2 linked regions of the Xenopus tropicalis genome follow. The protein of the gene in region 1 interacts with the protein of each later gene in a pairwise test. Links are inferred from orthologs where the notes say so. Each region holds a gene or a part of one and is shown on either strand. Other genes may lie near its edges.

Region 1 (5,572 bases):
CTGTTAAAGGGGACAAAACCTCCCCAAACAAATTGTAACCCCCAATGTAACTGTTTGCTCATTAAAGTAAATTTAATTCTAGGCAACTTTCCCATATACATTCATTACAAACATTCATTTCTATTAAGGCTGTTTGTAAATGAAAGTGCTATTGAAAGCAGCTTCTCTCTGGTCTGCACTGCTGGTTCTGACTACATGTACCATTAAACAATGTATCACTAGGCGGCTCCCCTTCCGCCAATATTCTCTTTCCCACAATGCCTTGATTCTCCTTCTTTTCAGGTCTATTAAAGGTCTATCAACGTGAACATTTTGCAAAATTAAAGTAAATTTATTTCTGAACACCTTCCCAACATACAATTATGGCAATTCCAGAACACCAGGAGTTAATTTAAAGCCACACTGCTGGGTGTGTATCTGTAGCCTCTGCTGAATGGGCCATGTCAGTAATATGATATAAACTACTGTATATACTCGAGTATAAGCCTAGTTTTTCAGCACCCAAAATGCGCTGAAAAAGTCACCCTTGGCTTATACTCGAGTTGGGTCCCTCCAGACTAGCACCCTCTGTCCTTTGTGTGCAAATTAGGCCTCCTGCAACCAGACCCTGCAGTGCCTATTGTTTTTGTTGACCCTCTTCTCCACTTACAGAGCTTACATATATTTAAAAACATATACCCCACTGATGCCTCAATTAATGTAATTTTATTGGGATTTATTTTGATTATTGAAACTTAGCAGTAGCTGCTGCATTTCCCACCCTAGGCTTATACTCGAGTCAATATGTTTTCCCAGTTTTCTTAGGTAAAATTGGGTACCTCGGCTTATATTGGGATCGGCTTATACTCGAGTATATACGGTAGTTCCCTGCCTACACCACAATGAAATATCAAGCAATATAAAGGGAAGTATAATAAAAGGGAATTTAGTTGGGGCCCGGGGGCCCACAAACCATTACTCTGTGATTCCTAGTACAAAAGCGGAGATGACATTTTCCATAAACATTTACTTACCCTTCACCCAGTTTGTGCACAAAGAAGTAGCGCTTATTCTCTATGGTTATAGACCCCCGAGAGCAGATACACAGAGCGCCGCCCATTGTCCTTCCAACATGCTTTGGTCACTAGAAGAGAGACATTTGTATAAGCACATAAGAGGCATAGTGCATAGCGGCACAACATCCAGTGCAGTCTGCATCAGAATCTAATAATGTCATTACTGAGGCACAGGGGGTTCAGTATGTGTCAGTACCAGTTACACTGGGTCCAAAAAGGTCAATGGACTACAATTCCCGGCTTTAGTTATAGGTTGGAGAATTCTGGGAATTACAGTTCAGCAACACCTAAGAATAAAATTAAACATGGTTTGGGGGAACATAATCAATCTATTCAGTATAGGTCTATATCAGAGATCTTTGGTGGGTGGCTCAACCGCTGTCCCTCTCTGCTAAGGGGTTGCTGGGAATTGTAGTCCACAGAAAGCCCAGCCATATACTCCTAAGCTTAGAAGAGAAAGAAACACCCCGATGTTACCCCAGTATTACCTTACTGCCTCTATTGCCCCAGTATTACCTTACTGCCTCTATTGCCCCAGTATTACCTTACTGCCTCTATTGCCCCAGTATTACCTTACTGCCTCTATTGCCCCAGTATTACCTTACTGCCTCTATTGCCCCAGTATTACCTTACTGCCTCTATTGCCCCAGTATTACCTTACTGCCTCTATTGCCCCAGTATTACCTTACTGCCTCCATTGCCCCAGTATTACCTTACTGCCTCCATTGCCCCAGTATTACCTTACTGCCTCCATTGCCCCAGTATTACCTTACTGCCTCTATTGCCCCAGTATTACCTTACTGCCTCCATTGCCCCAGTATTACCTTACTGCCTCCATTGCCCCAGTATTACCTTACTGCCTCCATTGCCCCAGTATTACCTTTACTGCCTCCATTGCCCCAGTATTACCTTACTGCCCTCCATTGCCCCAGTATTACCTTACTGCCTCCATTGCCCCAGTATTACCTTACTGCCTCCATTGCCCCAGTATTACCTTACTGCCTCTATTGCCCCAGTATTACCTTACTGCCTCTATTGCCCCAGTATTACCTTACTGCCTCTATTGCCCCAGTATTACCTTACTGCCTCTATTGCCCCAGTATTACCTTACTGCCTCTATTGCCCCAGTATTACCTTACTGCCTCTATTGCCCCAGTATTACCTTACTGCCTCTATTGCCCCAGTATTACCTTACTGCCTCTATTGCCCCAGTATTACCTTACTGCCTCTATTGCCCCAGTATTACCTTACTGCCTCCATTGCCCCAGTATTACCTTACTGCCTCCATTGCCCCAGTATTACCTTACTGCCTCCATTGCCCCAGTATTACCTTACTGCCTCCATTGCCCCAGTATTACCTTACTGCCTCTATTGCCCCAGTATTACCTTACTGCCTCTATTGCCCCAGTATTACCTTACTGCCTCTATTGCCCAGTATTACCTTACTGCCTCTATTGCCCCAGTATTACCTTACTGCCTCTATTGCCCCAGTATTACCTTACTGCCTCCATTGCCCCAGTATTACCTTACTGCCTCCATTGCCCCAGTATTACCTTACTGCCTCCATTGCCCCAGTATTACCTTACTGCCTCTATTGCCCCAGTATTACCTTACTGCCTCTATTGCCCCAGTATTACCTTACTGCCTCTATTGCCCCAGTATTACCTTACTGCCTCTATTGCCCCAGTATTACCTTACTGCCTCTATTGCCCCAGTATTACCTTACTGCCTCCATTGCCCCAGTATTACCTTACTGCCTCCATTGCCCCAGTATTACCTTACTGCCTCCATTGCCCCAGTAGTACCTTACTGCCTCCATTGCCCCCAGTATTACCTTACTGCCTCCATTGCCCCAGTATTACCTTACTGCCTCTATTGCCCCAGTATTACCCTTACTGCCTCTATTGCCCCAGTATTACCTTACTGCCTCTATTGCCCCAGTATTACCTTACTGCCTCTATTGCCCCAGTATTACCTTACTGCCTCTATTGCCCCAGTATTACCTTACTGCCTCCATTGCCCCAGTATTACCTTACTGCCTCTATTGCCCCAGTATTACCTTACTGCCTCCATTGCCCCAGTATTACCTTACTGCCTCCATTGCCCCAGTATTACCTTACTGCCTCTATTGCCCAGTATTACCTTACTGCCTCTATTGCCCCAGTATTACCTTACTGCCTCTATTGCCCCAGTATTACCTTACTGCCTCTATTGCCCCAGTATTACCTTACTGCCTCTATTGCCCCAGTATTACCTTACTGCCTCTATTGCCCCAGTATTACCTTACTGCCTCTATTGCCCCAGTATTACCTTACTGCCTCTATTGCCCCCGTAGCGATGGCAGCTTTCAGCCTCCCACCGGAACTGTAACCAACCGGGCAGCTGGAAAGCAGGGCGGCACCGAGTGATGACGTTCAAGGAAGGCGACTCGGGCCTGAGCTGCGTTGCTAGGTTACGCAGGTACAGAATGGGAAAGGAGCCCAAACCTTTGTTCAAAACTCTGTTTTCAGTCTCTGACAGTCTGGAATCTGAAAGGTTAATCACTAGATCACTAGATCCCTAATCACTAGCGCAGTCTCTCCTATGGCTGGTAAATCTGGCGTCTCCAGTGCGTTGTAGAGGCTGCTCCTTCCTGAGTACGGTGTCCCAGCTGGCCAAACCTTCTAGAAATGCGAGTCTGCTGCCTTGGGGATTCCTTCTGCCGTGAATAAACGGTGCCAGTTGTATGATCTCGGGTATCACGGTCAAATTTCTTTCTGTTTCGGGCTATAAGTTCTTTTATCAAATTCTTTATGGAATTATTGGCTTCTTGCAAAGTTGTATCATACTCACTTGTGCTTATAGAACTGTTTTGAACACTCTCTTTAAGTTAAGTTATCTCTTTGCGAGTTTTATTGATTTCAGGCTGTAAATATTCCACAGTAAGGACCCTGGCATCCAAACTGGCTTTATTCCAGATGCCTTCCCATTTTGCTAAAAAGTCTTTATTATGCATACCTCCCAACTGTCCCGGACAGTCCGTCTTTTGACAACTCAACCCATAGTCCCAGATTCTTACTGAAAAGTCAATCATTGCACTGAATGCTAGAAAAGATACAATGTTTCTCAAACTTAATTAAAAACTAGCTTTTGGCAGAGAGCCTAGAAATCTTAGGGCTCAGGCACACGGGCAAAACTCCCTGTTCGCGGGCGACTAATCTCCCCGAGTTGCCTACCCCTGCCATCCCACCGGCGAACATGTAAGTCGTCGGCGGGATGGCCAGACGCGGCGGGGCGATTTCAGGAAATCGCCGAAAAAGACTTGCGAGTCTTTTTTGGCGATTTGCGCAAAATCGCGCCGCCGCGTCTGCCATCCCGCTGGCGATTTACATGTTCGCCGGTGGGATGGCAGGGGTAGGCAACTCGGGGAGATTAGTCGCCCGCAAAAAGGGAGTTTTGCCGCGGGCGACTAATCTCCCCGTGTGCCAGAGCCCTTAAAGAGCGTTACCTGAACTTAGATACATTGTTTCTCACATTTAATTAAATAAGTGGGCTTTTGGCAGAGAGTCCAGAAAGGTTAAAAGCCCCCCCCTGCACTGAGATACAATTGTAACTAATAAGCTAAACAGGTCTCTTGGGGGAACTGAGACTCGCAGCTTAAAGGAGAAGGAAAGGCAAAGTCACTTGGGGGTGCCAAAATGTTAGGCACCCCCAAGTGACTTTAAAGGGCAATTTCACCTTCTTCAGCAAAACTGTAATAACACATAAAACAGGAAACCAAAACCCCCAGAAATGTGTTCAAACTTTAAATAACCTGCCAAATTTAGTCAAATGGGAGTGGTATTTAGGGGGTGTGGTCACAAAAATGGGCGTGGCCAAAAATTGCCGCACTGTGCGCACTATTTATTTTTGACAGTCTTTCTGTTTTCAAAATTGGGAGGTATGCACTATAAGATTCGCTCATTTGTCGAAGATGCCAAAAGAGCAGATCTTTCCCCCCAATATGCCTTGGGTTGTGGTAATGCTAGGGTCGCCATCTTTGCCAGTGGCTAAACCCAAACAAAGGGTGCATGGGGCTGATGGCATCAGGGGTGGGGCTGAGGGTGGGCATGATGATGTTGGGTGAGTTTATGATGCTGGGGCGGGGTGTATTTCATTACTTAATGCAGTTGCCTGGATTTCTGTCCAGTTTTCTCAATGTTTTAAACCGGACAGAATGGGACAGTATGGGACCTATCAACCAGAAATCAGTTATTCAAAAGCTCTGAAATACGGCAATGCTAATTAAGATTTTTGATTGATTGGCTTTTTCTTTCTGAAATTATAAGAAATAAACAGTACTTGATTACTAAGCCATGTTGATAGAAAAAAATCACAGTGAGTATTTTAATATATAAATGTGTTTCATTTATTGGCCAGATTATTGTTCAGGTTTCAGCCAGTTGAGACCCAAAAAGGCCTAAAGGTCCCCATACACGGGCCGATTGTAGCTGCCAATATGGGTCCCTTAGACTGATTCGGCAGCTAATCGGCCCGTG
Region 2 (4,994 bases), on another chromosome or scaffold:
GGGCTGTGGGATAGCAGGTATAGTAGGGAGAGATGATGCCTATAGTAGCAGTGGGAAAAAAAAAAAACATTTTGCAGATAGGATCTAGTAGAAACTAGTCTATGAGTTTTAGAGATGGAACTAAGACTCCCTGCCAGGTATCTAGGAAATATACGCACCACACTAATACCCAGAATAATGAGTGCTGGAGTGGCATTAGTTCACATAAAAGTATGTAGTAGGGAGTATTTCGTTCCGAGCAGAAAGTTCATGCTTAATTAGAGTCCTAGCCAGGGCCACAGACTGTAGATGTAGGAAGCAGCCAGATGGAGTGGATATAGGGAACCTTACATGTACGTTACAGCTTATCCTAAAACTGGTTGCATATTAAACTGCATCCTGCATGGCTAAGACTGCAGTCTATCATTTCTAATTAGCCATGAAGCATGCGTGTTAGTTGTGTGGGGTGAGCTGGTATCCCTACGCACTATGCAGTTCCTCAGGCTGTTAGTAACTAACACAAAGGTTGGGGGGATCCCATTTCCCTTCCAAGTAATTGCCCTCGCGTGTGTACAGCTGTATCCTGGATCATCCCTTCCCTGCACAGAGCAGATCCCTTGGAAGCCGTATTTGCTGATAATATATTTGCTCTGAGAGAACAAGTAGAGAGCCCAGTGCTGCCGGCACGCATGAGCTCCATCTGCCTGGCACCGTTACAAAGGCCCGAAACCAACCATATCCCTGCAGGCCAGACGGACCCGGCTGTAAGCAATTGTCACATCCTGCAGGGACTGGTTTTCCTAGGCCTCCCGAGAACATGTGGACGCTCAGCAAATAACCTTTCTTGGTTTTGAAATTATGCAGAATTCTGATGTCGGAAAAAATTCTCTCCAGTGGGAATATTTACCCTTTGCACAGTCAACTGAGTATGAATAGCTAAGCGCCTCATTTAAACCACCATTACTCTGCAGCGCAAAGAGATGCAACAACTGCCAGTTCCGTACTAATTGCACCCCACCCTAAACTTTCACATGGAAAGCTCCAGTGCCTTAATGTTATCTTTATGGCCCCAGCACAGAAGCAAAGAATGTTCCAGAAGATAAGAGAGACACCTGGCCTACCTGCTGAAAGGCGTGCCTAAGGGCGAAGAGACACGCAGCATTTAGTCTCCGCAACTTTTTAAAAAGTCGCAGCAACTAATCTGCGTAGCGAAACTGCACGGGGGATTAGTCGCAGGGACTTATACTTTTTACAATTCAAGGTGATTGTGTGTCTTCACCCTTAAGGTGGCCATACACTGTAACATCTTTGCCCTTTGGCCAAACAATTGCATTACAATGAAGGGGATACAAGCCATTGGAGCAAGGACCAGATCAATGAGCCAATGCAGTTCTTGATCCGATGGGAAAATCAAGCCTGTCCGAATGAGATTTGGCCCAATTTTTGTAAAGGGAGAATATCAGAGGGCCTAATACACAAGCAGATAAGCTACTGAATCCGTCTGAAGGACCCGAATCGGCAGCTTATAGGAGTGGTTCCCATTCAGGTTATCTTTTACTATGTTATAGAATGGCCTATTCTTAGCAACTTTTCAATTGGCCTTCATTTTCTTTCTTTCATTTTGTATTATTTTTGAATTATTTGTTTTCTTCTTCTGACTATTTCCAGCTTTTAAATGGGGGTCACTGACCCCGGCAGCCATAAACCATTGCCCTGTGAGGCTACAATTTTTATTTTTATTGTTAATTTGTATTACTTATCTTTCTCTTTAGGCCCTCCTCTATTCATTTTCCTGTCTTATTTTCAAAAAGCTAAATAATACACAAACCGCAAATACAAAATGTAGACCAATTGCATAGCATTTGCATTCTCTTTATCCTACTAAAAGTTAATTTAAAGGTCAACAATGCCTTTAAAGTTGCCCAGGAATGGCCAGCTTGAAAGGGTGATGGCACACTGGGTGATATCTAGCAATTGGTCAACCCAGGGTTTCTCTTTCCGGGGAACAACATGCTAGTAAATCACTCACTTCTGCCATCCAACTGCTTCACCCAGTGCCACACTGGCCCCCTGGGATACCAGGAACAATCCCAGGGGGGCCCATGAGTTAATGGGCCCTGTGGCTCCCAGCCATTAATTTGGACCCAACCATTTGGCCTTTAATGACCATACCATAATATTTCTATATGAGACCAAAGAGTAGGAATGGAGAGAAGTATAGATCATGGTGTATTAAGAGACTAGTAGATCAGAGAAGGCAAAGAAGAAAAGAGGAAAGATAGGAGAGGTCTTTGGTCTAAGGTTTTTGTTGAGCCCGTAGCACCCCAGTTGGGCACTGGTTTCTTTTGTTGGAGTCTTTGGTTGAGGTTACCCTTCCACAGCAGTCATAGTTGCCATTCATAGAGATATAAATCCCTATAGGTGCAGTATTTGCCGTTAATGCAACCTAGGGCCTATGGTACGTGGAACATGAAGGTTTTCAGCCAGGGGAGAAGGGCCATTTAGGCCACGGTTGGGTTCTTCTCCATAGCTGAAAGATGCAGTCAGAGTATAGTTTCCCTATACCTCCCAGCTTTCAAATAGGGGGTCACCAACCTTGACAGCCAAAAAAAACCCCTAAATGTTAACGGCTACAACTTTATTGTTTTTTTCATTACTTCTTTTTTTATTTAGGTCCTCTCCTGTTCATCTTCCACTCTCTGATTCAAACCACTGGCTGGTTGCTAGGTTAAATTGGCCCCTAACAACTAGACAGCCACTTAAAATTCAGTGCTGGAAAGCTGCTAAAGAAATAGCTAAATCATTCATAACCATAAAAAACTGAAGACCAACTGCAGAGTATCCCTGTCTACATCATACTAAAAAGTTAATTTAAAGGTAAATTAGCCCTTTAAAATGATTTTAAACCTGTTTGCAGCCACAGAGGAAGGCAGTGTGGGTTGGAATGAAAGGAGTGTGGCAAGCCAGGCAATAAGGAAAATATATCTGTCTTCCCCATGACGTCACTTGCCTATAACGACGGACTGGAATTTAAAATTAGTATCTGGCACGGACAGAAAGTCTCATTGAGACTGGGTATAGATGCTGATTTATTAAAAAAAAAAATCACATAATAATATAAATGCAACTGGCTGCACAGAAATCTTTGCAGTCTGCGGCATGCTTCTAAATGAATTGCCAATTAACCCAGCACAGTATATCCAGTGAAGTGGTGACTGGTAGATCAGCTAATTAATGGGGCACAATCTTATGCCTCCCCCCCTGCCTGTGTGTGTTTTTAATAGGAATTGTATTGATCTGGTATAAGCCCTGGGCACACGTTAGACTGTCAATGCAACTCACCCCCTTCCAGCAACATATATGAGAGAAAACAGACACCGCCGAGATGGATACTTACACCCTGCGGACTGCTGCTCAGCTGTTTCCCAGAGACACTCATGTTGGCAGGTTCCCCCCTCTCTGCCGGGCACTGCCAGGAAACACACAGCCGCTCTTGGGAAGGGAACAAAATCCCTCCCTTCAGCTACAGCAGGATTTTCTACCCAGTCTCCCCTCCCTCCTGATCCTCCCAGTCTAACAGGTGTAGTAGGGGGAGTGTCTGACTCCCAGCGGAAGTGCTGTGAGATTTACACACTCACCCAGGTGTTCTGGGCCAGGGCACACTCACGCTTCTGTAAACAATCATTTTTTAAAGGGATACTGTCATGATAGTTACATAGTTACATAGTTACATAGTTACATAGGGTTGAAAAAAGACCATTGTCCATCAAGTTCAACCCATCCGAGTAAACCCAGCACACAACCTATACTAACCAATCTATACACTCACATACATAAACTATATATATACAACCAGTAATACTAACTGTAGATATTAGTATCACAATAGCCTTGGATATTCTGATTGTTCAGAGTACTTTTTATTTCTAAATGACACTGTTTACATAAGCAAATAATTCCCTCTGCCATTTAACATTGTATTCTTGAACCAACAAATGTATTTGTAGCTGTAATATTGGTGTGTAGGCGCCATCTCAGTGCATTGTGCCTGAGTCTGAGCTTTCAGCCAGCGCTACACATTAGAACTGCTTTCAGCTAACCTATTGTTTCTCCTACTCCCATGTAACTGGAGGAGTCCCAAGCCGGACTTGGATTTCTTACTATTGAGTGCTATTCTGATACCTACTGGGAGCTGCTATCTTGCTCCCTTCCCATTGTTCTGCTGATCGGCTGCTGGGAGGGGGGGCAGGATATCACTCCAACTTGCAGCGCAGCAGTAAAGTGTGCCTGAGTCTGAGCTTTCAGCCAGCGCTACACATTAGAACTGCTTTCAGCTAACCTATTGTTTCTCCTACTCCCATGTAACTGGAGGAGTCCCAAGCCGGACTTGGATTTCTTACTATTGAGTGCTATTCTGATACCTACTGGGAGCTGCTATCTTGCTCCCTTCCCATTGTTCTGCTGATTGGTTGTGGGGGGGAGGGGGGGGGATATCACTCCAACTTGCAGCGCAGCAGTAAAGTGTGCCTGAGTCTGAGCTTTCAGCCAGCGCTACACATTAGAACTGCTTTCAGCTAACCTTTTGTTTCTCCTACTCCCATGTAACTGGAGGAGTCCCAAGCCGGACTTGGGTTTCTTACTATTGAGTGCTATTCTGATACCTACTGGGAGCTGCTATCTTGCTCCCTTCCCATTGTTCTGCTGATTGGCTGCTGGGGGTGAGGGGGGGGATATCACTCCAACTTGCAGCGCAACAGTAAAGTGTGACTGAAGTTTATCAGAGCACAGGTCACATGGCTTACCAAGATTTTGGTTTCCTGTTCCTTCCACATAGCCTTGCCCACTGCCATGTTGAAGGAACAGGAAACAAATTCTCCCTTTTAAATGGCAAATTACAATGGAGAGATAATTACTCATCAACAGGGGATGCTGGGAGCTGTAGTCTGGCATCAGCCAGTGAAGCAGAGTTTGCATGCCTGTGTTGTAGAATCGATTACACGGATCAGTGGGTGTAG

Evidence for each region.
Region 2: the proteins of stk16 (region 1) and kctd14 interact in binary tests that used the Homo sapiens proteins (3 or more experiments, as listed by UniProt). The link is inferred for Xenopus tropicalis from reciprocal best matches to the Homo sapiens genes STK16 and KCTD14.

What each region holds. Positions count from the first base shown.
Region 1 is NC_030685.2:83,927,735-83,933,306, forward strand, and holds the start of stk16 (serine/threonine-protein kinase 16), read right to left. Parts: upstream 3,438-5,572; 5' UTR 3,366-3,437; intron 1,124-3,365; 5' UTR 1,100-1,123; coding exon 1,014-1,099; intron 1-1,013. UniProt on the Homo sapiens protein: Membrane-associated protein kinase that phosphorylates on serine and threonine residues. In vitro substrates include DRG1, ENO1 and EIF4EBP1. Also autophosphorylates. May be involved in secretory vesicle trafficking or intracellular signaling.
Region 2 is NC_030678.2:168,932,533-168,937,526, forward strand, and holds the start of kctd14 (BTB/POZ domain-containing protein KCTD14), read right to left. Parts: upstream 3,585-4,994; 5' UTR 3,419-3,584; coding exon 3,377-3,418; intron 1-3,376.